4 linked regions of the Notamacropus eugenii genome follow. The protein of the gene in region 2 purifies or fractionates together with the protein of the main gene of each other region. This does not show direct contact. Links are inferred from orthologs where the notes say so. Each region holds a gene or a part of one and is shown on either strand. Other genes may lie near its edges. The genes, in order: VPS33A, PLEKHM1, VPS39 and VPS41.

What was found.
Region 1: the proteins of PLEKHM1 (region 2) and VPS33A purify together in Homo sapiens (affinity purification with western blotting; 3 studies listed by BioGRID and IntAct, with this or other methods). This does not show direct contact. The link is inferred for Notamacropus eugenii from reciprocal best matches to the Homo sapiens genes PLEKHM1 and VPS33A.
Region 3: the proteins of PLEKHM1 (region 2) and VPS39 purify together in Homo sapiens (co-immunoprecipitation; 3 studies listed by BioGRID and IntAct, with this or other methods). This does not show direct contact. The link is inferred for Notamacropus eugenii from reciprocal best matches to the Homo sapiens genes PLEKHM1 and VPS39.
Region 4: the proteins of PLEKHM1 (region 2) and VPS41 purify together in Homo sapiens (affinity purification with western blotting; 4 studies listed by BioGRID and IntAct, with this or other methods). This does not show direct contact. The link is inferred for Notamacropus eugenii from reciprocal best matches to the Homo sapiens genes PLEKHM1 and VPS41.

Annotation. Positions count from the first base shown.
Region 1 is NC_092875.1:37,522,659-37,529,997, forward strand, and holds the start of VPS33A (vacuolar protein sorting-associated protein 33A), read right to left. Parts: upstream 3,011-7,339; 5' UTR 2,816-3,010; coding exon 2,714-2,815; intron 2,283-2,713; coding exon 2,217-2,282; intron 1,537-2,216; coding exon 1,409-1,536; intron 1-1,408.
Region 2 is NC_092873.1:348,254,051-348,261,367, reverse strand, and holds the start of PLEKHM1 (pleckstrin homology domain-containing family M member 1), read right to left. Parts: upstream 3,022-7,317; 5' UTR 2,933-3,021; intron 1-2,932. UniProt on the Homo sapiens protein: Acts as a multivalent adapter protein that regulates Rab7-dependent and HOPS complex-dependent fusion events in the endolysosomal system and couples autophagic and the endocytic trafficking pathways.
Region 3 is NC_092878.1:28,617,034-28,624,116, reverse strand, and holds the start of VPS39 (vam6/Vps39-like protein), read left to right. Parts: upstream 1-4,078; 5' UTR 4,079-4,134; coding exon 4,135-4,207; intron 4,208-7,083. Other genes in the region: TMEM87A (transmembrane protein 87A), read left to right, coding at 47-77, 1,378-1,419. UniProt on the Homo sapiens protein: Regulator of TGF-beta/activin signaling, inhibiting SMAD3- and activating SMAD2-dependent transcription.
Region 4 is NC_092874.1:480,214,696-480,222,599, forward strand, and holds the start of VPS41 (vacuolar protein sorting-associated protein 41 homolog), read right to left. Parts: upstream 3,012-7,904; 5' UTR 2,997-3,011; coding exon 2,952-2,996; intron 1-2,951. UniProt on the Homo sapiens protein: Plays a role in vesicle-mediated protein trafficking to lysosomal compartments including the endocytic membrane transport and autophagic pathways. Acts as a component of the HOPS endosomal tethering complex.

The sequences.
Region 1 (7,339 bases), on a different chromosome or scaffold from region 2:
ATTATAAAATGGGGATAATAACAGCACCTACCACTCAGGGTTGTGAAAATAAAGTGACATGTTTTTAAAGACACACAGGAGGTGCTTAATAAATGCTTAAATTAAATAAATGCTTAAATTAAATAAATGCTTATTCCCTTCCCTTTCCTCTTGATAACAACCACACTGAAATCCTCTTTTAAACGCTTTATGTTACACTTTGTGACACTAACGTGCTTGATTTAATGTAGCAGTAAATCCAACTAATCAACGATGTTGTAACTAGAGGGAGCCTCTGATTAAACTATTCAGCAAGCCTCTGAAAGATTCCTTCCTTCTGTGTTCTCCTTTCCTTTTTTCCAACTGATGACTCCCAATACATGTTAACATTCAGTTAAATCAGTGTTGACCAAGGGTCTGTGATGTGCGTGGTCCTGTGAGAACAGAATGAAAAACAGCCCCTGATCTACGGAGCAGGGATATCACTGTCTCCGTCAAAATTATTATTCCTCCCCATGAAAGAGATCAGCCCAGTATCCCAAGGGCTACAGGGAAGCCTCTGTAAACAGGAGGATCTCATTTTTGCTCTAGAAATGCTTTGCTTACTTTCTCTTGTGAAACATAAGTAGAGCCTCATTTCCTCTAAAAGGGCAGACTGGGTTTAGGAAACAAATACAACACGGGATCTGGGCAAGAGTGCTCTGCCTCCCAGTGGCCTTGAAAGTGTTTTAAGTGCCCTGGGTCTCAGGCTCCTCCTCTGGACTTTCGATGAGGGCGCTGGCTCACCAATGTCCCTTCCAACTCTAAATCTTGTAATCTGATCTTTTAGGTCCTCGTGGAAGGTTCCTTTCAGTCGACAGATTCATCTTTCCTCCTCCTTTTGCCCCTGCCCAACCCCTAGTCGGCCCAGGAGAGCCTGCCTCATACCTTTAAAAGGGGCCACACAGAGGGCCCAATTTACTATTTCCTACTTAATGCCTTGTTGAGGAGGCAGCATGGGACAGAGACCCTAAAGCCCTGGCTTCAGATCAAGCAGGAGGCTCTAGATTCAAATCCTGCTTCTGGAGGTTGGACTGGACACCCTCCAAGGTCCTTGCCAACTATAGCCTATGGTACTACTTCCCCCACTGAAGGTTTTCCTCCAAGAATCTCCTGATCGATGCAGTGAGGGAGTTGTACTAGATGACCCCTAATGTCCATCTCTAACATTCTAGGCATTCCCAGTAGCAAAAGTTCCCAGCTCTAACGTTCTAGGCTCAGTTCTCTTCTAGCCTGGCCACCCTTCCACCCTATCCATTTTTCTATGACAGCCACCTCACATTCTGAATGTAATCCATACTCCATCCACACTCTTCTTCAAAAGCTGGAATGTAAGAATTAAACACCATTTTAGTTTTAAATAAATTTAAGATTTTTCCTCCTTAGATACCTGAGTACATTTTCAGCAATTATATCCATCAATTCTAGCCTGGGTCTGACAAAAAAAATAATGTTCTTGACATCAGCTGCAGGCAGTCGACTTCCTTTAAGTGTGAACATTTTTTCCACCTCATGTTCCTGTGGAAAAGACAAAAGTTGTAACTGAAGACGTGGATTTGAAATTGAACATTCAATTCATCAAACACTTAAAAAAGCACTTGCTTTTAAGGAGCTTAGCACCATATAGGTGTAATTGTAAAGTACCGAGAAAAAAGGGGAGCTAGGTGGCATCACAGTGCAGAGAGCACTGGGCCTACAGTCAAGAAGACTCCTCTTCTTGAGTTCAAATCCAGCCTCTGACGCTTCCTAGCTGGGTGACTCTGAGCAAGTCACTTCACCGCTTGCCTCAGTTTCCTCAACTGTAAGATGAGCTGAAGTAAGAAAGAGCAAACCACTCCAGGAACGGGGTCACGGTGAGTGGGACACAGCTCAAGGAGACAATAACAAATCATAATATGCAGGACATGTGTGTGATGGTTAGAAAGGATGAGGCTGGATATGAGCTGCATCAGCACCTCCAGTCACAGAGGGGTCTCAAAGTGACAGCTCCAGGAGTTCACACAGGAGGCCAGCCCCTGCCCCAGCCCCTGCCCCTGCCCCAGGAGGCCAGCGCCAGCCCCATTCCCTGCCCCTGCCCCAGCGCCAGCCCCATTCCCTGCCCCTGCCCCTGTCCCAGCCCCTGCCCCTGCCCCAGCCCCAGCCCCTGACCCTGACCCTGTCCCAGCCCCTGCCCCTGCCCCCCACTCTATCTTCTTTACCTTCAACAGCGAGTACTGCGCGATCAGCCCAAAGGGCCCCGTGAGGTGTTCATCCCAAACTATGGCCTGCAAAGAGTAGAGTCAGTGACCACCTGGGAAGCGCTGGGGGCGGCCGGCAGGCCCCCGGAAGGCCGGTCTGGGCCCCAAGAAGGGAGGCAAACACCTGCTGCAAACGTCACAGGTTTAAGCTCTCAACAACCACCCAAAATTCTACCGGCGTCACATGGGTGTTCTGCGTCCTCCCGCCCGGGCCCAATTTCGTCGGACTCAAAACCCTTGGGGTCCTGTTTGCACCAGACGCCCTGGGAAAAGCGCTTATCGCGAAGGCTCTGACAATGGTGCACCTGGCGGCGGGCCGGCCTAGGGCACCCGCCCGGCCCCCCCACCCCCGTTAGTGCTGTCGGTCAGAAGCCGAAGGATGTCGAGAAGCTTCGGGGGAAGGCATGCCCATGACCTCGGGGTCCTCAGTTTCCCCTCCGCGCCCGCCCGGGCCTCACCTTGCTGCCCGCGCACTTGTCCAGGAACTCGCGCAGCTCCCTCCGCACCGCCTCGCGCAGCACGTTCAGGTTCACACGCCCGTAGGACAGGTGAGCCGCCATCCTGCAGCGGCACCTCCCCTGTCCTCCCCTCCCCTCCCCGCGCCCGACGGCCCTCAGCGCGCACCGAAGCAGCAGTCAGCTGATCGCGCCTCCGCGCACGTGACGCGCGACAGGCGGAGCCGGAAATGCCCGGGCCACAGGGGCGCCACCGCCTCTGAGCATGCGCACGGGGAGCGCGCATCGGCTCCCGGCAGCCCCTGCGTGTTCCGGGGCGGCCCCCTCCCTCCCGGGAGCTCCGAGGCGGAGGCCGAGTCACGGCTGTTCCTGAACCCTGGTTTCTTTTCCCCCCTCCCAGCGTCCTGCCCGGGGGGTCTCCAGGGAAGCGGCGGAAGTGCGAGGCATCAAGCGCTTCGGGAGCCTGACGTAACACGCCTGGGAACCTCTGGGCCTCAGTTTCCTCTCCTGTCTAGCGAGGCCGTGCACGTGCAGCCCCCGCCAGCCTCCCGTCAGTCCCAGCAGGGAGCGGGGCCGGGCGTCACGTGGCCTGCCGATGGGCGTGCCCCGGAAGTGAGGGGGAAGGAGGAATCCCGCCTCCAGATGGGTGCCCGCGGAGAGCCCCGCCGGGAGCACGCCACTGCCGCCCCCTCTTTCCAGCCGAGGAAACTGAGGCAGACAGGGCGGATCCCGCGGCTGCGAAGCGTCCGCGGCAGGATTTGAACTCGGGCCGCCTGACTCCAGCCGCCACCTTTTCCCTAGGTTCAAAGTGTAAAAAAGGCCTAAGGCCTCCGTCTGCGGCTTCGCTGTGGGAGGCCCTGCCCTTGCTACCTGCGCCTCTTTGGAAAGGTTGCTTTCCGCGCGCTTGAGTTTCTCCGTCTACCCACCTAACCTCGGTCCCATTAAATTCGTGTCTGGACGTGACGTGACTGGAGAGGAGGGGACGGAGAAGCTGGTGTCAGTCCCGGATTGTAGGTACCAGGGTGGCTGCCACAAAGAGCTGGGAATCCAGGCCCTGGAACGCAGCTGCTGTCAGGATCTGGGAGCACAGGTTGGATGCGCCAGGACAGACAGAAAGACAGAACAACCAGCCCTGTGTTTTGGGGCCATGAGCCTCTCAGAGAGGAAGAAGGTCCTCAGGCTGGCCATTAGCCTTGTTTCCCTCTACAGAACAGGCTCATCCTGGTCCCACTGAGGGATGGAGTCACCAAAGAGTCGTACACTGGATTTTACTGAAGCTGGAACAGTTCTGCTGTATTGTCCTATTTTAAATTTTGTGACAAGCATTTCTTTATAAAGATGAAACTTTGGGAAACAGTAAAGGAGAGTTGGAGATTACCCACAAGATTTGGTAGAATCTGGAAAACGCCCTGTGTGACCTTGGGCATGTCACCACAATTCTCTCTGTTCTCATTTGTAAAATGAAAGAGTCCAATGAGTGACTTCTGAGCCCTCCTAGTCCTAAATGTTATGATCTCATGAACACTGGCTTATTCTTTTTAATTTCCATGTTAGATTTTTTCATTTTAGTTAGAAAACCCTATTTTGAAATCTACATTAGCAGAAGTGTTCAACTAGTACTGAAAAACCCTATAAAACCTATTTTGAAATCTACGTTAGCAGAAGTGTTCAATTTGTACCAAAATCCACTTATTTCAACAGTTGTTCTCTAAGATAATGGGATCACAGATTTAGAGTGATTCCCTCGTCTGGAGCCAGTAGAAGAAATCTAATCCTTCCTGCACATGACAGCCTTTCAGATGCTTGAAGATAACTATCATATTCCCCCTCTGCATCTTTTCTAGGCTAAAGAACCCAGTTCCTTCAACCCATCCTCATAACTCTTCACCATTCCACTTACCCTTATTTGGACTCTTCTCTGGTTCATCAATGTCCTTCTGAAACTGATGTTTAGAACTACACATACAACTAACTACCTATGAGGTCTGACAGAGACAGAGAGTTCAGTGGGGCTCTCACTTCACCATTCCTGGAAATGGTGCCCTTCTCAATGCAGCATAAGATCCCATTAGTATTTTTGGTGATGCCCACCATACTACTGACTTATGAGGAGCTTGCACTCCACTAAATCTCCCAAGTCTTTTTCAGCATAAGGGATGAGCCGTTGTGCCTCCTTCCCACCCATCCTCCATCTTGTACCTGTGAATTTGACAGTAGACACTGCCAGAAATACCTCAGATTCATGACGTTTGATTTTTTTAAATTAATTTTGGTCATTTTGCATTCAGAAACCTTTTATTGTTGGCAAAATTTTCTAGACCCCACATGGGGTCATGACCCACAATTTAAGAAGTGCTGCTTTATCCTCTCAAGATCCATTTGGATCTTATCTGTCCTTCCCATATTGGAGTCCTCTGCCTGTTTGGTGAACTTCATGCCTTTATCCAAGTCACTGATACAAATAAGAAATAACAGCAGAACAAGCACAGGTTTCTGGAATATTCTACCACTAGCTATTCTTAAATCTGGCCATCCAGCAAGTTCTAAATTTACCTGATTATTGTCCCATCTCTATCTTTCCATCTTCTGCACAAGGACAGTATGAAAACGTTTATCAGAAGCTTCTAGGTCAACTATATCCATCATTCCCTTCAGTCTGGTTGCTGTTTGTACTTCATTCTGCAAGAGAACTGATGACATCTAATGTCTTCACTTGCTCATGAATCAGATTTAAGTGAGGTAAAGCTATGCAAGGTCCTCAGCCTCCCTGTCTCCAGAGTTATGAGTCCAGTGGCAAGACCACTAGCAAAGAAAGTGGTTGTAACAAAAAGCCAGAGTTGCCTTTATCAAGAGTGGGTCCTAGCAAAGTAATCTCTTTTTTTGGACAGGGTTTTTTAATTAGTCAGTCAGGAGAATTTAATATAGTTTGCCTAGATTTTAGCAAAGCACTTGATGAAGTATCACATACTATTCTTGTGGAAAAGATGAAGAGGAGTGGACTAGTAAGCAATCAGATGGTTCAGCACTGGGTGAAGATTTCCAGTGTCAGGCCCCAGGGATCTCTCTGTTTGGCCCTGTGCTATTTAAGACTTTGATGAGTGATTTGGATAAATGTGTAGAAAACATCAAACTTGCTGGTGCCATATATAGCTGTAATAGGTAGATGAGTCAGAAGCCCAAAAGAACTTGACTGTCTAGCATCAGAACTAGATCAAAAAAGATAGGGAGGGATAAATGTAAAGTCTTCTCCCTAGGTTCAAAAAAATCAACTTACAAGTGCAAGATGGAGGCATGGCTAAATAGCAGTTTGTGGTGGATTGTAATGTGAACACTAAGCAAGCAGCCCCCAAAAGGTAAGATCCTGGGCTGTGTTGAGAGAGAGATCTTTCAGGCAGGAATAAACAAGTTGTGTTGTTTTCAGTTTTGGACCCTGATGTTTCAGGACACAAATAAAGTGGATCCAGCATCCAGAGTCCCACCAGCATCAAGAGCCTACTCCATGCTAGGCACCAGGGCTGCAAATAGAAAGAATGAAAACTGTGGCTACTTTCAAGGGGCTTATGTTCTAATAGTCATAATGTTCTTAGGTTCACACAGCTAGCTAGTATCACGTGTCTGTCTGAGGCCATTTTTGAACTCAGATCCTCCTGATTTCAGGGCCAGTGTTCAATCCACTTCACCACCTAGCTGCCCCCAGAACTGTTTCTTAAAGGAAGAGAGGATTCCATGAGGAGGAGGTAAGGAGAGAGTACATTCCAGGTATGGGGAAAGACCAGAGATGATTCCATGAGATCAGCTGAAAGAAATGAGCACATTTGGTCTGCAAAATATCCCTTAGTGGAGGCATGATAGCTATCTCGCAGTATTTGATGGGTGTGTTAGATCCGATTCTAGTCCTTTTTAACCCCTCTTACAGATCTGAAGTGCTAAGCCTTCATGAATATTAACATTCCCAGTATCCAGAGTGCTCTAGTCTAGACAAGTGGTATGAAACTCAAATAGAATCTCTGCTGCCTGCATGAGGACCAACTTAGAAAACCACAAATGATTGTTATCTATGTTGTATTTTTATTTATTTTTAACATTTCCCAATTACATTTTGACTTATTTCAGGCTATACTCAAGTTTTTGCTGATCCTAAGTTTGACACCTCTGCTTTCTGGGTCAGCAGTTTAATTAAATTAAAGCTATGAACAAACTTTTATCATCTTTGTTCAAGCTCATGGCCACCTGCGCATCTAATGCCATCCTCCTAGCAAAGGCCAGGCAATTTAGACTGATCTCATGTCCATATTAGTTGGTTAGTCTATGCTGTGTAGATTTTTTAAAATAATTTTTTATTGCTGTCTAGTTTTTCACAGAATCTCTCTCCCCTGTCTCCTTCCAGAGAGCCATCCTATGTAACAGATACTGTTGGAAGGTGGTGAAGAGACAGAGAGAAATCAGTACAACATATTATGAGTAGAGTGAAAAAGTCCCACAACATGCTTGTGTGCACCACCTGTGAACCTCACTCAGTGAACAAGTGGGTGGGGAAGTGTTTCTCCTGTCTCTTTGAGTCTTTGCTGGAGCTACGCAATTTTGCTAGAATCACTTGATTTTTTGCTAGATGGTTCTTTCAATTTACAT
Region 2 (7,317 bases):
GTACATGTGACATGTTGCATGCAAAGTATTTGATGACACCTGCCATACCAGTGATTGAGACAAGGGATAATTTAGCCAGAAACACAAATTCTAGGACTAAGCAGATAAGGACTAAAGATTGGTCAAATGATAAAGCCAGAGTCCAGTTATGGGAGTTTTGACTTTTCTGGACCTAATCAGAGACAGAGCTGGGGTGGACAGCAAACTTAAGGGACTTATAAGCTAGGATCAGAGCAAGTGTATAAGTAAATAGGAGTTCGGGGTACAGGAGAATCAAGAAGTTTGTAAAACAGAGAGATGAGAAAGGCAAGGCTTAGCAGGTAAAACTGGCCAGACTGACAAAATAGGGCAAGATGGGACTGTCTTAGGTTAGGACCCTGGGTCTAGGTCAGCAGTCACATAAATTGATTCTTTTTATTTATTTCGAATATATTTATATATGTCCTTGTTGTCTCCTCCATTAGAATTTAAGTTCCTGGTGAGTAGGGATTGTTTCATTCTTTATATTTGTATCTACACTGACTAGCACAAAGTCGGAATGTAACAGAATTTTGTTAATTGACCAACCAATCTGACACAGAGGTTGGAAGGAGAGTCAACAGATTCAGTAGTAACTGAAGTGCTGTAAGTAGTGTTGGGGCCTGGAGACAGTGATCTGAAAAAGAAGTCCTAACCAGGAGCAGGGCTAAGTAAGAGGTGGGGAGTCTGGACCAAAAAAAGACCAACCCCCTTTAAACTCCTCTGAAACATTTGGCACTGCTGCTGACTACCCTCTCCTAGATATTCTTTCCTTGAACTTTCTGTTTTCCTATTCTCTCTTGGTTCTTTCCACTGACAGTCTGACAGTTTCAATATATCACACAAATCTGTCTACTGGATTTTTATCGAAGTCAAATCCAGTAAGTGTGGTTGTACATTAAGTTTTTTTTTCTTTATACTCACTTGGTGATCCCTCAGCTCACATGAGTTCAATTATTATCTATATGCAGATAAATACACGCACGCACGCACGCACACACACACACACCCGATAGTCCTAGACCTTCTACTACACCACCTATTAGATATTTTGAACTGGAGCTCAAATTCAACAAGCCCAAAATAGAATTGTTTCTCTTTTCTCTCAAAACGACTTCTTTTCTGAACTGCCCTAATACTGTACAGGGCAATACCATCCTTCATGTCACCCAGGTTTGCAACCTCAATGCCACGCTTTTGTTGTTATTTTTCAGTCTATACAGTTGTGCCTAACTCTTAGTGACCATATTGAGGATTTTCTTGGCAAAGGTACTGGAGTGGTTTGTCATTTCCTTCACCTGCTCATTTTACAGAGGAGGAAACTGAGGCAAACAGGGTTAAGTGACTTGCCCAGGGTCACACAGTCAGGAAGTGTCTGAGGCCAGATCTTCCTGAGTTCAGATGAGTCCTCCTGACTCCAGGATTGGCACTCTATCCACTGGATCACCTAGCTGCCCCAATGTCATGCTAGACTCCCTCCTTCTCACTCACCCTCTTATATCCAATCAACTAACAAAATCTGTTATCTCTATCCACACAGCATCTCAGGCATAAGACACCCCCCTCCTTTTTTCACAAGCACCACACAAGTTCAGCCCTTCATCACCTCTTACTTGAAAAAATATTGCAGTACTTTCTAATGAGTCTCCCTGCTTCACTTCTCTCCCCTCTCCATACTGTTGTTAAAAGTGATTTTTCTAAAGTGCAGGTCTGATCATATAACTGCCCTATCCCAAAGTCCCCAAATTCTTCACTTCTTACGACTTCTAGGATCAAATACAACACCCGATTTGGCATTTAATTCTCTATAACCTGGTCTCTTTTAATCTTCCTATTTTTCTTACGTTAATCATAGCTAGCATTCACATGGGCCACAAGAACCCTATGAGAAAAGGTGCTACTGTCATCCACATTTGACAGATGAGGACACGGAGGTTAACTGACTTGCCCAGAGTTATATGGCAAGCATGAGGCAGGATCTGAACTCCAGATCCAGTCCTATCCACCATGCCACCTAGGTGGCTTTGGTCATTACCTTTACCCCAAAAAGGCGCCCCCCTCCAAACTTGCCTTTTCCTGGAGAGGGCATCACTACATTCCGATCACCCAAGCTCCCAAGCTCGATGTCATCCTCTCCTCCTCCCCTGTCCCACATGTCCAATCCATCAGCTGCCCCACTCCACCAAGCCCACAGTCCAAGCCGAAGGGCCCGTCTCTGTGCCTTCTCACCTCAGCCTCCTGGAACTCCTCAAGTTGCCCCTGCACGGGGGCTTCCCAGCCCAGTCCTGTCCTGTCCTGCCCAGCCCAGCCCAGCCCCAGCCCCCCGAAGCAGGCGCCTCTGCGTCCATCTCCCCGTTAGAACGCGAACTCCTCCAGAGGAAGGCCGGCCTCTGCGTGCCCCCTCCCCCCACGGTACCCCGGCGCTTAGCGCTTAATAAATGCTTGGCGATGGAGTGATCTGAATGGGAGAGTGGAGAACCGTGTGTGGCGGGTCAGGTTCGGAGGCTGAAACGGGGGGGTCTGACGGGTCGGGCAGAAAGCCTCGAGGGGACGCATTAGCGGGAAGAGTTGGGGGGGGGCTGAAGCAGGGGAAGGAGGAAGACGTGGGAAAGGGGGAGCCGAGGGCTTAAGAGAGCTGAAGGGAGGGATCGCGGTGAGGAGGTGGTGATGGGCTAGGGGGCAGGGAGGCCGGTCCAGGGTGGGAAATCTGGGGGAGGGGGCGTGGTGGGGACGAGCGTCAGGTGGGGGCAAGGGCACGGGCGTGCGGGGACGGCCCGGGGGGTCCTGGAGGAGGGTCCGGGAGGGGGGCGAGAGGGGCAAGCGGGATGGGGGGTCTGGGACACGGACCTTCTCTGGGACCCGGTCTGAGTTCCCTCCATCCCCGACCGCTGCCTCACGGGGACCCCAGACTCACCTCAGGGTAGACGAAGAGCACTAGAACTGCCTCCAGACTCTACCCTTGCGCCTCTGACCGGAAGCTGCGGCCTCCCGGGCAGAGAAAACAGGAAGCTGCTCCGGCCGCTGATGACGCCATCACGTCAGCCTGGAGTGAGCCCCGCCCCCTGTCCCGTGTAGCCAATCCCCGGCCTCGAGGTCCCGTGGGGGTGGGGCTTGTGGCTCGGGAGACCGCACGTGGAGGTGGCACACTCGGGTCGGGACTGCGGCTAGGGGCCGGTTATTACGCTAACCATTTGTCAGCCCCTGGGCAGGGAGACCCTGCGGAAAGGGCTCGTCTGGCGCACTCCTGCGGACTGGCTCGGCCCAGCGGCCGCTTGGAGCCGAAAGTCCCCCAGCCTCTGTTCCCGACCCTCTTTTAGGACCTCAGTTTCCTTGTGTTCAGATGACGGGGCTGGACCCACCAACCAACCTTAACTGATGTAACGCCTTAGAGAAGCAGCCCGGTGCGGTGGCTGGGAGTGCCGGCCTCAACGCTAGGAAAGGCCTGGGTTCGAGTCCCACCTGTGACACGTCCTGACAGGGTGACCCTGGAGAAGACGCTTAATAACTCACTGTGTGTGTGTGTGTGTGTGTGTGTGTGTGAATGGATAGAGAGGGACTAGATCTTTGCGATTTCATTGGTACAGGGAATATATATATATGTGTACACATATGTGTGTGTATATATATGTGTGTGTGTGTATATATATATATATATACCAAGGGTCAAGACAACAAGCATTTATTAAGCGCCTACTGTATGCCAAGCACTGTGTGAGACAAAGAAAAGCAAAATAAAACCAAAAACAGACTCACTCTCCCGAGTCAAATGGGAGAGAGGACAAACAGCTTACAAAGAAAATACAGGACAAAGTAGAGATAATCTTATTAAAGAAGGAGCTTTTAAAGGTTCTCTTTTCTTGTTTTGCAGTTTAAAAAGCCCAGCCCTTGCAACCATCATAGTCAAGTAAAACAAATGGACTCCTTTGGCAGCCTGGCGTAGACTTTGGAACTCTTCTCAGAATGTTTTTAAATGCATAAAATAAAATATACAGGCATAGAAAGGAAACTAGTGTTGAAATCAAAATATTTTTCAAAAGCAAGTTCATGGACCCCCAAGTTAAGAACCCTTGATGTATGTTGATTAAGTTGCCGAGATGGTGCTGTCCAGCATCAGTTGAGAGAGTTTGCTCTTGTTGGAGTTCCCTGTACCAATGAAATAGCAAAGATCTAGTCCCTCTCTTTATCCTTAACAATTTACAAGCATCCATTAACAATGTTGCGATCCCCATTTTAAGTGACTTGCCCAAGGTCACACATTTTTTAAGTCCAAGTGATCAGGTGAGCCCGAATCTTTTTTTATTTTTAATTAAGTGCTCTTTTTACACTACTGAGAGAAATGATAACTAAATAACCAATTATTGGAGAGATGCAGGGTTTTTTTTCCTTCCTATTTCCTCATTCTCTACTAGGTCAAATCCTTGCCTTGCCTTTCCACATAGGGTGTCATACATATCCTTACCTGCTGGTGCTTGTGCAAAGGAATATAAATTTTGATTGCTGAAACCTTCTAAGACATCTTGGGGTTTACAGGCTAGATTTCTTTCTTAAGGACCATGCCTTAAACCCAAATCACTGTGGTTCTCATTGATTGGCCAATTGATCCTAGCCCAAGCCCATGGAATCATTGTTTGGGCCCTGATTGCTCAGGGTGAATGTAAATAGCAATTGTTTCTGTTTGACCCAGAAACCCTGAGGGTATTCTCTTCCCAGAGATATATACATAGTACTATTGAGGTTCAGGAGTGCTAGGGACCCCAAAATACCGACAGGCTGGGTCCTGCTTGTATGAATTCGACTCAAGCCTTCTTAAAGCCAAAGAAAGACAAAGTTTATTAAAGATTCGCCATATTGGGTTGACTATTAAGGAGCCTAAGAATTTGTAATGCTTGTATTCACAAGCAGGCCAGATAGAATCTCAACGAGACAGAGTCTGAGCTGGATTGAATCTGAGCGCCTTCATGGAGGCAAGATGGAACTTAAATACAGAAAAGACTGTAGGAAGGATCTGGGGGTGGTCTGGTAGTCTAGGGTGATGGGAGGAGGGGTTTAGGGAGGGTCTTAAGGAGAAGTCCAAGAAGGACTTCAGTGTGACTGGCTGGGGTGACTGATCAAGGGTTGGAAACAGCTGGAAGAAATCAGGAGATATCAGACAATGGAGGGCTTGGGTGGGAAGCAGGTGGAACAATCCGGAGGTAACAGACAATGGAAGGCCAGGCTTGGCCAAGGGCAACAGATTTGAATATGAAAGGCCAGATTAAGTGGGTAGATTCAAGGGAAGTTCAGGGAGGTTCCCAGAGTCTGAATCCTCTCAGTACTATACACATGTATGTGAGTGTATATGTTATACATTGTTGACCTAAGAACTTGGTTAAAGAAAAGGCAACAGGCTAAATGCATACATTTTATGATTTAATTAATTAATTAATCAATTCCCTATTAAAGAAAACGGTAACATAATGCATTATGGAGCCAGAAATGTTCTGGCTACTGATACAAAGAATTGGGCAGCCTTAAATATGTTTTTAGGACAAAGAAGTGTTGTGTGTCCTTCAGATTTATGATCTCCATGAGTGATTAACTAGACCATTAGAAAGGAATTTCTTAATTGCATAGGTTGTAAATACAATAAGACAACAAAGTTTGACAAAGTTTCACATAGAAATTACAACCCAAGATGTCTGTGTTTTCTTTATCATTAACATGCCATAACATAGTATATGTTGATAATGTTTAATATAACATTTTGGAATAATCTCTTTGTTCTCTCTGAAGCAAACTCAGAGAATGCCTCTTCCTGTGTCGGCAGAGGCCAGCCAGGGCTGACTCTGCATTCCTTGGAGACCTTTAACCTATGACATATCTTGAATAATGGGACTTTCCTTTGTATCTTATTATCTATAGACACATACTATGTTATGACATATTAATGGTAAAGAAAAAATAGGCATCCTGGGTTTCTATTGAACATTGTTTGCCCTTTCCTGTGTCAGTTATCTGTTTGGGGCAGGAAGCCTGCCACTTACTAGTGGTGGGATTTCCTTACCACCTGGGACATATGTTTACCCAGCTTGGAATCTCAAGATTTGACTGACATTGCTTTGTTAATTGTCTTGTCTTACTGAATTTATGATTTGCTTAATTAGGAGAGTTTCCTTCTCATGGCAAAATGTACTTAAGACAGATGTTTTCTGTACTAGGTAGTCAGAGTCACCTCTGACTCCATAGTGCTATGTAACTGTTTTCTTTATGGGGAATTGATCAATTAATTAATTAAATCATAAAATGTATGCATTCAGCCTGTTGCCTTCTTTAACCAAGTTTTCAGGTCAACAATGTCTACAAATATTAAGATATGGAAAACGTCCCATTATTCAAGATAGTGTCTTAGGTTAAAGGTCTCTTAAGGAATGTTAAGTCAGCCCTGGCTGGCTTTTGTTGACATGGGAAGAGGCATTCTCTGAGTTTGCTTCAGAGATGATAATGTTTAATATAAAATTTTGGAATAGTCTCTTTGTTCTCTCTGAAGCAAACTCAGAGAGTGCCTCTTCCTATGTCAGCAAAAGCCAGCCAAGGCTGACTCTACATTCCTTAAGGAGACCTTTAACCTAAGACACTATCTTGAATAATGGGACGTTTTCCATATCTTAATATTTGTAGACCTACACTATGTTATGGCATGTTAATGGTAAAGAAAACACAGACATCTTAGGTCGTAATTTCTATTGAACTTTGTTTACCCTTTCCTATGTCAGTTATCTGTTTAGGGCAGGAAGCCTGCCACTTACTAGTGGTGGGATTTCCTTACCACCTGGGACATATGTTTACCCAGCTTGGAATCTCAAGACTTGACTGACATTGCTTTGTTAATTGTCCTGTCTTACTGAATTTATGATTTGTTCAACTAGGAGAGTTCCTTTCTCACGGCAAAATGTATATAAGCCAGAAGATTTCTGCACTGGGTAGCCAGAACATTTCTGGCTCCATAATGCATTATGTTACCGTTGTCTTTAATAGGGAATTGATTAATTAATTAAATCATAAAATGTATGCATTTAGCCATGTTGCCTTTTCTTAACAAAGTTCTTGGTCAACAGAGAGAACAAAGAGATTATTCCAAAATTTTATATTAAACATTATCAGCATACATATACACACATATAGGTACTGTCGACCTGAAAGTTTGGTTAAGAAAAAGGCGACAGGCTAAATGCATACATTTTTATTATTCCCATTAAAGTAACAATTACTTGGATCCACATCCACGGAGCCAGGAAAACTCCTAGCTGCTCAGTACAGGAA
Region 3 (7,083 bases), on a different chromosome or scaffold from region 2:
TAAAGCATCACGTTCTCTGACTGTTGGTGTCTTTTTTCTTCTACAGAGCACTTCCAGCCCTTCTAGATTCCGATGAGGTCAGTAAGCAAACTTTTTAAAGTAAATTCTCTGATCTTAGAACGTGCAAGCCTCATTAAGGAGATTACTTTGACTTTGTTTACCTAATGTCCTAGAGAACTATTGTTAAGGCAGTAATAAAAAAGTATGGAATGCAAGACATAATAAAAATATAACTTTCAAGTGTTCAGGTTTCCCCCAGTCCCCCAAACATTGATGTAAATATGTGTCTCTTGAAAAGTTACAGAACCAATCTACATCTTTGTGTAAATTATATATGGCCAACCTAACTCCTCCCTCTTTACTAATGTCCTCCCTAGATGACTTTCACCTGATGTGTTCAGGAAATACAAATGATTTTCATATTAAATTAATTAATCTATTAATACTAAATTAATTAAATTAATTTTAATATTAAAGCTAAATTTAATAAGGAAAATTAAACAGCCACAAAAATAATGTAGCACATCAAAAGCAAATGGGATTTTTAACTGTCTGGTTATTCATGCCATTATTCAATACATTGTAAGTAATTGACTAGAGTAGGTTTAATTTTCTTTGTGTTAGTTAATTTTTGCAGTCTGGATATTGAATGTTCTAGTAATGTGTAAGCTTGGTCCTTTTTGATTTCTGGGAAGCTGTCAAGGTCATTTTGATGGACTAGATCATGGGCAGATTTTTTTTTTGTCTTTTCTAATTACTGTATGATAATAGACAAATTCCTTGATTTCTCTTTTTTCCCAATTTCCTTGTTGGTGTAAACTGAGAACAAACAGCCTACAAATATGAGCCCTGTACCTCTTTCTGGCCTCTAGAATTGAGTCTACCAAACATCCAGCATTCTAGGACTTGTGTATAGACTATTATAGTGGCAAGTTCCTAGTCCTCTCAGACAGCCATCCAAGCTAATCCTGTACCCGAAGTTTGTTTCTTTAGCAAACTTCTGACCTCTGCTCACCTGCCAGGGCAGCACTGCCCTTAAGGGCTGGAACTAGAGGGACATAACCTTTGGTACAATTGCAGATAAGTTTACGTGCATATGACAGCCCTGGCTTTGCCAGTCTCTCTCATCTTTGTGCTTTTTGCCTGAAATAACTGCACACTACTTAGCAATCATCTCTACTTATTAAAAAGGTACGGTGTCATTCAGCTATTAAAACTGTCAATGGAAAATAGAGTTCCTACTTCATGCTGTTCCTTATGGTGGACGTATGTTCTAAAATGTGTACATATTAAAATATCAACATGCCTAATCTAAAGAAGAAAAATTTTGAACAAGAAACCATGGCCCCTCTAAAAATAATCCTTTTTTTGCCCTAGGAAAGAATGATCACGCACTTTGAAAGATCCAAAATGGAATGAAGAATGGAAAGTTTTCAGGGCAGAGCTTGTTAGCGTCAGGGAAGAGATCAGCATTTGTGTCAGACTTCTGCTGCTGCTCCACTGGCTGAAAGAAGGCAGTGGAACCCCCTGATCTGTTCCTTGTGAGAGAGAGGCGTTGCAACCAGACGAGCATCCCATTGGGAAACAGGTCACAGAATAACAATTCCTCATAAAAAGGTCCTGATTTACAGTTCCCCCTCTGCCACTCCAAATCCCTGACTTGGATGTTTAAGCAAACCACATGTATTGTTTCAGCGATTTAATTTGTCAGACTGAAATTTTAACACCAAAGGGACAAAGTCCACAATGTGTAATGCCCAGAAGCAACTGCCTCTGATTTTATTTATTTTTTTGGAGAGGTGATGGGGAAAGTTGTTCATTATCCTTCAGATTCCTGAGGAGCAAATGTTACACCTTGCAGAGCTAGTTGGGAGATGAAACGGGCCCCTTTGAGTTAAGGAGTCCCCAGTACTATCAGTGATTAAAAGTACCAAAAAATAGAAAGATTTGAAAATGTTAACAGTGGGATTCAGATCATTTTTTAAAAGCAAAATCAAGTGCAATTTTGTTTACAAAATGGTGTATATTAAAGATTTTTTCTATTTCAGATGTAATTTAGAGAGAAAATATTAGCTTAAAACTCTTTTGATGTCTGCTGTTGTGACACACCCCGTTGCTGGCAATGTGGTGCACACCTGAGAACTTTGAACTACTGCTCCGACAGCCTCTGAGTGCTGCATTGCTATCTCCTATGCAATGCTTTGTCTGCTCTGGCATCACAGGGTAGTAGATGTTCCCCTGGTATTGCAGCAGGTGCAGAGGCTTTCCTTCCACCTGAGAGGATATGAAGAGGACAGCTGATTATAAAGGAGGCAGGTCCTTCCAGCTTGGTTGAATATCCCTGTACGGGGTAGGACACACTAGGGTGAACTGTTCCTGTTTCTGGGGTTGGTTAGGAGTGGTTAGAGGCGTCCACAAGGGGAGTTGCTGAATTAGAAATCACTTAAAGAACTCCATTCTGTTCTAACAGTTTTCTCAACTTTTGCCTTCCCAAGTTACGGATTTCTGTTCTAAATACAAAAAGTTCATGCCACTTTTTAATATTAAAAACCTTAAAGTCAAAACATTTCTGATTTTTTTTCAAATTTTTTTTTAATCACCTATTTCCAAAAGTCTTGTACCCTCTGTTATGGGGAAAATGTTCATTTCCACACCCGTTGATTGCTTCCTAGACTGGAAAACTGCTGGTCAGAGAGCCTCCTCCTAAAAAAGTTTTGTACAGACTGCCCCAAGTTTCACGGGCAGAACTCAAGTACCAGAGGTGAAGCCTGGCCGCCCTCCCGGGTTAGCTCCCCAAGCAGTTACCGTGTTTGGTACTGATGCTGGCTGTGCCATGGCTTTGAGGGGCACCAGCCGGAAGTCTGCCGGGGGGCCCAAGGCCACACCTCAGGGACAGTCTTTGCGTTACTGGAAGTGGGTAACCGCGTGCCACCTGCAGCAGTTATGATCAGGATCGACCCTGACTCCTTGGGGGTGGGGTGGGGCCGGACGTGCTGCACCTGGGCCACCCCGCGGGGGCTGCCCCTCCGAGCCTGGGGCGCACAGGCCCCTGATCAATGCGCGCCCAATCCAACTGGAAATTCCTGTTTCTTGGCACCGAGTCCAGAAATCCCTCCTCCACTCCGAACTTTTAGGCGCTTCCACCTTCTCTTTAAACTGGTGTTGTGGGTGAAGGCCGGCCACGTTCAGATTACGTCTAGGCCCAGGACCTGCGTGGAAACCTCAGCAAAGAGGAGGGAATTTGGGGGGCCTCGAACGTAGCAGTGAGGGAACCCCCGGGTGACCCACGCCGCGGAGGGCGCGCCCCTCACCCAGGCCCCGGAGCCAGAGGCCTCGGGCAGAACTGACTGCGGGTGGAGAAGGTGCAGAAGAGGACAGGGAGGGGCCCCCTGGTCTCCACGGGGGGGGGGCCTGCTGGGGGCGGGGCGGGGCCCCCTGGTCTCCACGGGGGGGGCCTCTTGGGGGCGGGGCGGGGCCCCCTGGTCTCCACGGGGGGGGCCTGCTGGGGGCGGGGCGGGGCCCCCTGGTCTCCACGGGGGGGGGGGCCTGCTGGGGGCGGGGCGGGGCCCCCTGGTCTCCACGGGGGGGGCCTGCTGGGGGCGGGGCGGGGCCCCCTGGTCTCCACGGGGGGGGGGCCTGCTGGGGGCGGGGCGGGGCCCGCCGTCCTCGCAGCCCCCTCGAACCCCGGCACACCGCGCTTGGATGGGGGACGGACAATGACCCTCATTTGTCACTAACTTTAGAGTGGTATTTATCATTTCCGACGATAAGAAAAGGGCCGCTCTTCTCAGAAGGTGACCATGGGCTTCACTAGGCCGACAAAGGGGTCCGTGACTCCGAAAAAGGCAAGAGTCCCGGGACTACGGAGACTGCCGAGCGCGCGGGACGCAGCAGTGACCGCGATGGTGCCTCGGGGTTTAGGAGGCGGGCGCTCTGGCGGAAGGGGCGGGGCCTCGGCGGCGGAAGGGGCGTGTCATCGCCGTCGGAGCAGGAAGTTTGGAGCTGTCGCCGCCGCCTCCGTCCCCGCCTCCGCCTCCCCCAAGGCCGTCAAGGCCCAGGGTTCGTCCCCGTGGCCCCGGATCCCAAGATCGCTGCTCACGCCCCGGCCGCGGCGACGCGGGTCCCCCCGCCGCCATGCATGACGCCTTCGAGCCGGTGCCGATCCTGGAGAAGCTGCCGCTGCAGATCGACTGTCTGGCGGCCTGGGGTGAGAGGAGGGGGGCGGGCGTGTGCGCGTGTCTGTGTGTCTGTGTATCTGTGTGTCTGTGAGTGAGTGTGCGTGTGTGAGCGTGCGTGTATGTGTGCGTCTGCGTGCGTGCGGCTGGGCCTGTGGGGGGGGCCCGCCGTGGGGGAGACCGCGAGCGGAGCCGGCGTCGCCCCGTCGTGCGGGCGCAGGGCCGCGGACCCGGGCGCGGGGGTGACGTCCCCGTAGCACCCGGAGGCGCCGAGCTCCGCACCCCGCGGGCTGCTGTGGGGCGCGTCCCTCCCCCGGCCTAGAGCTCCGGAAGGCCCCTTGCGGGACAGAGCCAGGCCCGGCCCGTAGCCCTGCGCAGCCCGGCTTCGGTGTTGGAAGGGTTGCCCCAAGTGGTCCTGGGGGTAGCCCGGGAGCGGGGCAAAGATCCGGGCCTGGGTGATGTAGACTGGCTTCGCCGAGCCGAGGAAGCCAATGAAAACCCTTGGTTAAGGTGTTTACTGGGGGTCACTTCTGGGGATACGAACGCAAAAACAGGCAGAGTCAGCCCTTCGTGTCCGTGTCCGTGTCCGTGCCTTGCGATGGGGCAGACCAAACTCAGACCCGCACGTGTAGCTTGGGGAATGGTAGAGTGACATCCACCCTTCCTAAAGAAAGCCCAGCGTCTTCGGCCATGGCCAGGCTGAACCTGCCCACGGGTGGATGAAAGCCGTAGCCGGACAACTGATAACGGATGAGTTGGGGTGAATTTGGACAATTCCATTAACTTGAAAGTTTTTAACGTTAGAGTCGCATTGGGGCTGAGTGAAATGAGTGTCCGTCGGCAGATGTGAAATCATCCGGTGGAAAAACCTGACCCGGCACCTAAGCAGATTTGCTGTCATCCCTTCTGCTCCATTATTCTACCTGTACCTTACAAGCTTGCCTTCACAAGTGTTGTACTTTCCTTGAAATCAGGCATCGTTTAAGAAGCTGATCCAAATTTGGGGGGTCAAGAGAGGATCCCACCTACTATAAAAATATTTCTGAAACTGCGGTCTCTCACCATTAAGTTTAGGACAGCAAGGACAACATATTAATAGAGTGTGTGCTTTGTATATGAGCGATACCTAGTAAATATGGTATAGGAAGTATACTGCTTTAGAATCTTGACTTCTAGGAGGGAAAGGGTCATGTTATATGATGAAGGTGAATGCCCAGCACGTTTAGGGCTCTCCATAACCATTTTACACACATACACACGCACACTATCACACTGTCTCCTCCATAGTTTTGTCATTGACTTGATTTATAACTTACATTCAGTCTGCCTCAGGTTTTCCAAGGGTACAGCTAACTGACACGCTGAACTTTCTTACAAGAATGTAAGGCAGATTGACAAAGTCATGTGAATGTACTTTTTCTTCTTTCCAAGGAACATTAGATCACATGAAACTCCTATCTGAGTTTGGTTTGAGAGAGATATGGTTTACCTTAAGAAATCCCAAGTAAAAGAGTGACCAGATAGTTTCAGTCCCTGAAGAATACTATCTACTACTCTGACCTATACCCTTATTTTGTAACTTCTTTGATCCTTGATCAAGGGAACATTTTAGTAGAGGTGGAAAACAGGACAGTATGTTATTAAAATATTATTTTGCTTGCTCACTGCTTTATGAGGCAGTGTTGCTATGATACCACCAACTGTGGGAAAGGCTGGGAAATTTTGTGGACTATGGTTTTTTGGACTTTCCTTATGGCTTTTGAAGAACCATCAAACCTAAAAGTTTGCTCTGCCACCTGGCATTCAGCTAGTGAGATATACATACATTCAACCTCTACATATCCCTACAGAATATCTTTAAAAATAATTAATCCCTCCACTCTGTGAGTGACCTCTCCTGATCTGGGAGAATTAGCTTATTAGAATGAGCCCAGTTTTGGGCTGGCCCTGATTTAGAGGACTCCACAAAACTTAGTCTTTTTCTTTCTTTTTTTTATGTAGCTTTTTATTGATACCTTTTCTTACATCACCTGCATTTCCCCCGGAGCCATTCTCTGCTCCTGTTTTTTTTTTTTTTAAAGATTAGAAGAGAAAAACAAAAGTTTAACACATTGAAAACATACACAGTGTTCTAAGCAGGAATATATCTTCCTTTTTTTTTCCTTAGGGCCATTCTTATTGATTATAACGTTGCAATATTCAGTTTCAGTTGTTCTACGTTGTTGTAGTCATTATCTTATTTTCCTGACTTTGCTTACTTCGGTTTGCATCAGTTCATATAAATCTTTCCATGCTTCTCTGTATTCATCATGTTTGTCATTCCTTACAGAACAGTCATAGTCCATTACATTCATATACCACAATTTGTGTAGCCATTCCTCAGTTGATGGGTATTAACTTTGTTTCCAGTTCTTTGCTACTACAAAAAATGCTGCTATAAATATTTTGGTGTACTTAGAGCCTTTCTTTTTCGTCAGTGACCTTCTTGGGTTATATGCTTAGCTGTGGAATCTCAGGGTCAAATTTCATGGACGTTTTAGGCACTGGAGTTGTATAATTTCAAACTTCTTCTCAGAATAGCTGTACTAAGTCAGGGTGCTATTAACAGTATATTAGTACACCCGTCAATCCCTCCAACATTGACTTTTCCCACCTTTTGTCATCTTGGCAGTTTGCAAAGTCTGAGATAAAACCTCAGGATGGTAATGATTTGCCTTTCCTTACTCATAGTGATTTGGAGCATTCTTTCCAAGCTGTTAACAGAAATATTTGATGCTAATATTATTTTTTCCAAGGTGCTGGATTCTCTTCAAGGCTATCCCAGTGCCTTCTTTTTGGGTCTTGTCTCTTTTCTCCACCAACATTTTTGAAGTCCCAGGATAGTAGTCAAAAACAGGTCCAGGCTTCA
Region 4 (7,904 bases), on a different chromosome or scaffold from region 2:
CAGCCATTTTCAGTAGCACAGATATTGAATTCAAGTGAAAAGATTAAGTGGCAATGGTGGGACAGGGCTCAGATACAGCTGGAATGCTGCAGACAGCTCCTAACTGACTTCTGGGTTCAACATCTGGATCACACTCCATTTCACAAACACTCCGGGAAAGGTACACACTTCACAGCCAGACAGCCGACCTCAGAAGCTGTTACTCAGCACAGCACTGTGCCCCATTAGGCTAGGAGCTCCCTGAGGCAGGGACTGCCTTTGCCTAACCCTCATCCCATGGCACCCAGGAGAACCACAAGGGAGAGGATGAAGGGCCTGGAGTTCAAATGCTGACTCAGACACTTAACCAGCTGTAAAATGGGGACAAGAACAGCACCTGCCTCTCAGGGTTACTGTGAAGATCAAATGAAATAAAATCTGGAGCATGCTTCACATAGTGCCTGCCACACAGCAAGCAACTGAACCAGCGCACGCTAGCTTAACTGCACTTGGGAACAAACACAGGTTACCAATTTCAACAACTTAACTCAAGCTATACAGAACACAATTTAATCTTTCTTTGACAAATGAGAAGGTACATCCCTGGGATTCAGCCATCACCACAGGCTCAACATCATGAGAAGCATGAGAAGTATGGGAAATGGTTTTGCAGCCTCCTAACCCATCAGTGCCCTGAGCACACCCCATCCTACAAAGCAGTCTCCTCGCCCGGTCCCAGGACACCCTCTCCTCCAGCCAAACAGCATTCCCTCAGCTTTCAGGATCCTCCACACCATCCTGCCAGGGGCACCTCTTCCACTTCCCTTCACCCAGTTAAGAGCATATTCCTGGCCTTAGCGCTACTCGAAGTGAGGTGGGGGGATAGAGGTACAGAGACAAAAGAAATTAACAAAGTAAAGTAAGGCCTAACCTCAAGGAGTTTAAAATTCTACTGGAGAGAAAAGGAAGGTGGGAGAGAAAGCTGAGCAAATTGTATTTTATCTAGGAGATAACAGACAACGTGGGGGCAGGAAGGCTGATTTACCCTGTCTCCTGGGACTGTTAACATGGCAGTTATGAGTAGGGGGACTCCCCTCAGGTATACAAGATCAGGCCATCCTCTGAAGTCACAGAACGCCCCATGGGCCTCACCTTCTTTCTATTACTATTATTTACATCCACATTGTATCTTAGGGGGACAACTGGAGACAGAAGGAATGTAAGAGGCCTGAAGTCTCACTCCTCCATTTTACAAATTAGGAAACAGAGGCCCAGGGACATTAATTAACTTGCCCAAGGTCCCAGGTATTAAGAAGGGGGATTCAAAGAGGGGCCCAAGGTTGTCTTATTGGTCTTCATATTCCCCACTGGGAACGAATGGACCTGTGGGAGATGGGAGACTCCAAGGAGCTTTAGGGGTCATAGAGCCTCAAGTCATTTTACAGTTGAAGAAACTAAGACTTGACAGGAGAGAGCTCCCTTCTTCTACCAGATCATTCACAAACTTCCTTCTTACATACCTTCAAGGTGACAAACATGAAACCCTTTAAACAAAGAGTGACAACTTTTATAAGAAAGAACAAAGTGGCCTTTCAAGTGAAGAGCAAATGAGAAGATACGTGTGGAACATTTAGCACTGGCACATAGTAGGTGTTAAATATATACTTATTCCCTGCCCCTCAGTCCCCAATGAAAGACCAGTCATATTTATAGCACTTTACTATACCTTTCAATTTTACTTGTGAACATTTGGTACCTAATGTATTGACGAACCAAAAACTATTACCTGCAGAAATGAAGGGGACTCCAAATTAAAGGAGGCAGCTAGGTGGTTCAGTGGATACAGCACCAAGCCTGGAGTCGGGGAGACTTGAGCTCGAATCTGGCCTCAGACATGAACAAGCTGTGTGACCCTGGGCAAGTCACTTCACCCTGTTTACAGTTTCCTCATTAGTAAAATGAGCTGGAGAAGGAAATGGTAAAGCAGGCCAGTATCTTTGGCAAGACAATCCCAAACTGGGTCATGGAGGGTCAAACACAATTGACCAACAACCAAACTTGTTATTAGTGTTGCTGTCCAGAAATTTTGCACAAATTTTTCTCACGCTAACCTAGTTCTTAAGCATCATTATCATTTTTTAAAAAACTATTAAATTCAGCAGCTCCTACTCTGCGCAAGAAACCGTTGGCTTCTGAAAGATAAAAGGGAAATCAATTCTTAGCTGACAGAATTTACATTCTATAGAACTACAACCTTTAAACAAATAAGTAATCTAAGATAATTTGGTGAGGAGAGTGCACTATCAAGCCAGGGACTTCCTTCCAAGGGCCGCAAGGTGGCAACAGGAGGGATACCTGTCAGGTAGGTAGGACAGACTGGGGCACAAGGAAGATGTCAGGGGAATACGGAGCAAAACCTCAGACAGACACTAAGAACCGAAGTCACAGAGAAGGAGAAAAAGTGGACCAGGAACAGCATCTGGATTTGCAATGACAGGAAGTGAAAATTGGAAGCCTTCCCTAACTAGGAGCACCATCTTCCACCAGGACCAACTTTCCTCTGCCTCAGAACTCTGGCCTCATTTACTCAGGAGGCATGGGCGGGGGAGCGGTAGCGGGGGAGAGGATATAGAAATACACGAACAACAAAGCCAGTCTGGAGAAAAAGTATGACAGGATAGATAGAAAGTAACACAGGATAGATACAAAGTAACTTTGAAGATCACCTAATCTGTGTGAGCTTCTCGTGGGAGGGCCATGGGAGCTGAACACTCTCCTTGGATTCTAGATTTCAATCACCCAATCCAAACTACTCATTTTACGGGTGACTTGAGCAGGGTCACCCGGCTAATGAAGGCCAGAGGCAGAATTTGAATCCAGATCTTGGCCCCAAGTCCCGGACTCTACCCATTACTCCAGGCTGCCTTTCTATGCCCTTCGGCACACAGACACCTATCCCAAACCCTTCACACCTTGCCCTGTTCCTGAAGCACCCCAGCGCTCCCATGTTTGGACATAGATGCTCTACCAGGAGAACGAAATCACTCCCTCTTTCCTCCTGTCAATGGCACTCTGGCTACTGCCGGCGCCGACATCTCAGCACGGGAGTGCATCTCTGGCCTCGGAGTCTTTGCATCAGCTGTGCCCCATGCCCGGCGTGCCTTCGCTCTTCACCTCCCCGAAATGGCTTTATAATGACCACGGGGGCAGCACCCGGCAAACACGGGTGAGCTCCCCACCTGCCTCAATGTCCCCGCCGCACTTCACCCAACGCAGATCCCTGAACAAGGCCACCCGCCCCCCCCCCCCCCCGCCACACCCCCATCAACTGCCTAAATACCCACCTTCTCCTCTGCTTCTGCCATGGTGCTGCCGGCAATATCACGTGGACGCTTCCGGAAGTGACGTATAGGATATTACGGACTCGGAGACACAATGCATGCTGGGAAATGGAGTTTGAAGCAGCTCCGCCCTCTCGAGGAGCTGTCGAGGAGCTGTCCAGCTTCTGACGGAGCTGCCCAGGAGACTGCTCTCCGAGTGTTCCGAGCTCCCGAAAAGTGGATGCCTTCCCACTGCTTCACCAGGGAAGAAAATGTTTTTAAAACTCTCAACAAACCCACCATCTACATGAATTCTTTTTGATATCCCACAAAATCACGTTATATTTCTTTTGTGTGCGTCGTTTACCCATTTAGGTACACATGGCGTCCCAGTGAGATGTAAGAATCTTGAGGACAAGGATTACTTCACTTGTTTCTCTCTATTCTCAGCACCTAGAAAACCATCCAGCCTATAGTAGGGGAGTAAAAGTACTTCTTAACTGAGAAATTAGTGCTGCCTAAAAATGGAATGGGCTGAAAAGCTAGTGAAAAATTCATCAGTAGAGGTCTGTGAGCAACAGCTGGATGATCACTAGTCAGAGATGTTTTACATGAGGATTCAGCTCAAGTATGAACTCAGCTAAATGACCTGACCATCACAGACTCAAAAGTTTAAGCGATCTCATTTAGTTCAAGCTATTCGCTATAACAATAATTTCTACAATATCCATCAAAATGTTTATCCTACCTATGCTTTCTAGTTGGGAAGGGGGTTGGCCATCTCCCATGGTAGCTCAACCTCCCATAGTATCAGGCATAGAGTCAGGAAGACTCCTTTTCCTGAGTTCAAATCTGGCCTCAGACACTTACTAGCTATGTGACTCTGGGAAAGTCACTTCACCCTATTTGCCTCAGTTTCCTCATCTGTAAAATGAGCTGGAGAAGGAAGTGGAAAACCACTCCTGTGGCTTTGCCAAGAATAGGGTCATAAAAATTTGGACAGCTCTGAAAAACAACTGAACAACAACACTTAGTTGTCCTCAAAGATTCAAGTTACCAGGCCAAAACAAACCATATCCATGGTACTAGGGAAAAAAACCCACTAATAGACAATGATTTCAGAGCTGTAAATGATCTTTGAAAGGTTTTAGAGAATAAGATAAATAATACAAGATGCAAATTCCTCCGCTTTTCCTGATCCCAAAGGAAATCCTGCTACCGCCTGCTACCAGCCCTACTCCTCCCATGATGCTATCCTGCTTTGTTCTTCCCTAGAAAGTTCTGCTGAACTCTTATCTAGATGGTACAGTGGGAGGAGGAGGTGGGGGTGATGACTGTTCTTGGAGTAAGGAAGACCTGATCCTGATCAAATCCAGTCATTTAGTAAGTGCATGAACTTGGGCAAATAATTTAATCTCTGTATACTTCAATTTAATCACCTAAAAAATGAATTGTTGAGAGGATCAAGTGAGATATTTCTGAAGTGCTTTGCAAATTTTAAGGCACTATGTAAATGCTAGCCAATATCACACCCACTCTATTTCTTTAAAAATTACCTTCCATCAGGTATGTATGATCATGGACTAACTTCATTCCATTTTTTGAAAGCATCATAGGAAATGTTGAATATTAGGTATGCCTACATTTCAGCAAATTTTGCACTAAAACGTTTCATTCAACCTTGTAAACAGAACTGAGAGATGTAGGTAAGATGATAAGGCATCTGCATGTACTTGGAAGTGGTTGAATAAATGGACCATTAATAGGTCAAGGTCAGTTGAAGTAGGTCCCTAGTAAAGTGCCCCATGGATTTCTTCTTCTTTCTGTGTTGTTCAACATTTGACTAATGATTAGGAGAAAAACAATGGAGATATCTTTATTAAATTTATAAATTACACAAAACTGGGGAGCTTGGATGATACAGCGCATGATAGAGTCCAGAAAAAAAAGATATATCTCAACAAACGAGAATGATCAATCAGATCTGGTGAGGTGAAACTTAATGAATACAAACTAATACTTCTATACCAGGGCTCAAAAAACTGCAAAAGTAACAACTTTTACATTGATTTAATATAACGCTTTTAGGAATGCAAATCATTTTAAATATATTACCTCATTTGATTCTCTCAACAACTCTGTGAGGTAGCTATTATTGTTACCCTTACTTTACAGAGGAGTCTGAGAAAGAAAATTGACTTACGTAGGTCAGACAACTACTAAGTAAGTGTCTGTCAGGATTTTAAATCATGCTTTTTTTAATTCGGGCTCTAACCACTACACCATCTATTAGGTATTTGAGGAGAAGTGGTAAGATAACTAGGCTAAAAGATCTAGACAAAAATGGTATGAAAAAAGGAAAGAATACTTATTTGAACTCAAGAGAAAATTAGAGCTAGACCTCTAACTGGACCACATGCTACAAAATCCCTTATAGCACTGAGATACTGTGGTCTCTAAATCTAAAAATCTCTCTTCCCTATTACTCTACAAATGCTAAATTTTTTATAGTCAGTGATCATCTTCTGTTGTATAGAAGCTTTCCCTATTGCCATCCAGCTCCAAACTAATGGAACCTCAGGCCTGTAGATGTCTCAGACTCTCAAGGTTGCCATCAAACTTAGATATATCCATTCAGAGGTTGATATTCCATCACCTACACAGGGAAGGATTCCTAAAGCAGAAAAGTCTGATGATGATGACCTAGGAACAAGTGCTCCTGGTGAATTAATGTCCCATATGAGGGTGGTACAGAGTGTAGAAACAGAGTACCTCCAACTCCCCACACCCCACCCATGACCTGTGCAGGAGATTCAAAACTAGGAGAGGTCCCTTAACTAATATAATATCCCACCACCAATACTGCCAAGGAGATGGAGGAAAATCAAGGCACCGCTCACAGATTTATCATGCCATGCTAAAATGCCAAGTTTTTTTTATCCCCAAAAGATTGAATTGAGAAGTCACCATGGTAGAAATTAGCACATTCACCAAGATTTCACATGCTCATTGGAACAAGGAATGGTGTCTTTGAGCATACTCCATAGAGGAAGGGAAGAAGGGAAGTCTGGAGCCCTAAAAATAAGACATAAAATCTTAGTATTGGTTCAGTGGGGGTGAGAAAGTTCTTGTTGTTCAGTTGTTCAGGCAAACCTAGTTGTTAGGTGATGGAGGGGATAAAAAGGAGAAAGTGCGGGGACTGGAGTCAAGAAGACTCACCTTGAATTTAAATTTGGATTCATTTTAAATCTTCCTAGGCATGTGATTTTTGGCAAGTCACTTAACCCTGTTTTCCTCAGTTTTTCATCTATAAAATGAGCTGGAAAAGGAAATAGCAAACCCTTCCAGAATCTCTGTCAAGAAAAATCCCAAATGGAGTCATGAACAGTTGGACATGACTGAAACTACCGCAAAGGTCATAGGAAGGAGGAAATCCTAAAATAATCTTTCCAGGGCTCAGATTGTCCTCTTCAATCACAGCAAACCATGTTAGATAAGTTTTTAGCATCACTTGGGTCTCTTTTGTTGGGTGCCATGCTCCAAATTGAATCAGGAATATTTCAGACTACATCTCACTTCAGACACTTCTAGATGTATGACTGAGCAAGTCACTTTTCTTCACTAAGAGTGAGTTTATTTGTAAAATATGGAGAATCATATGTGTATGAATTTCAAAGGTGGTTTTGAGAATCATAGTATCATAGATTTAAAACAGAAATCTTAAATGTCTGGTATAATCCTCTCCTTCTGCATGTAGGGAAATTGAGGCCAAGGGATGTTGAAAGACTTAACAAAGGTAACAGAGATAATAAGAAGCAAAATATGAGTTCAAATCCAGTCCTTTGACTCCAAATCCATCTCTCTTCTCACTCTTAGGCTGCCTAGCAAATGAGACTATGAGTATGAAATCCTTCAGAAAGTGAGCTATTAGGATGATTATTATTTTGCTTAACAAGTTATTAATATATTGGAATGTTTTAGCTTAAACATATTCATCTTACATCTTTTAAGCTTATACATTCCTACTACCCATTTTTATACAAATCAATAGCAGAACTAAAGAAAACCATATAAATTGTAAGCTCATATGAAGGCAGTGTCATAACTTACCTACACTTTGTATTGCCCCAGCACCCCAGCACACAGTGCTCAGCACACAACGGGTGCTGATAAATGTTCAATTAATTAGTAACTAGATTTTGCAGTGGACAGAGTGTTGGAATTAGGAAGACTCGTTTTCCTGGGTTCAAATCTGACCTCAGACACTTCCCAGCTTTGCAACCTTGGGCAAGTCAATTAATCCTGTTTACCTCAGTTTTCTCATGTGCAAAAATGTTTGGGAGAAGGAAATGGCAAGCTATTTCAGTATCTCTGCCAAGAAAACCCCAAATGGGGTCATGAAGAGTCAGATACAACTGAAAAACAACCAAATAACAACAAAAATTGATGAAAGGAATGGGCAGTAGTTTTTTTCCCCATCTTTGCCTTTATTTTTTCTGTAAATAATGATGAAATTATAACAACAGTAGTAATTATTGACCTTTATAGAGTGCCTTAACATTTGAAAGGTACTTTATAAACACATTATACTTTTTAATTCACAGA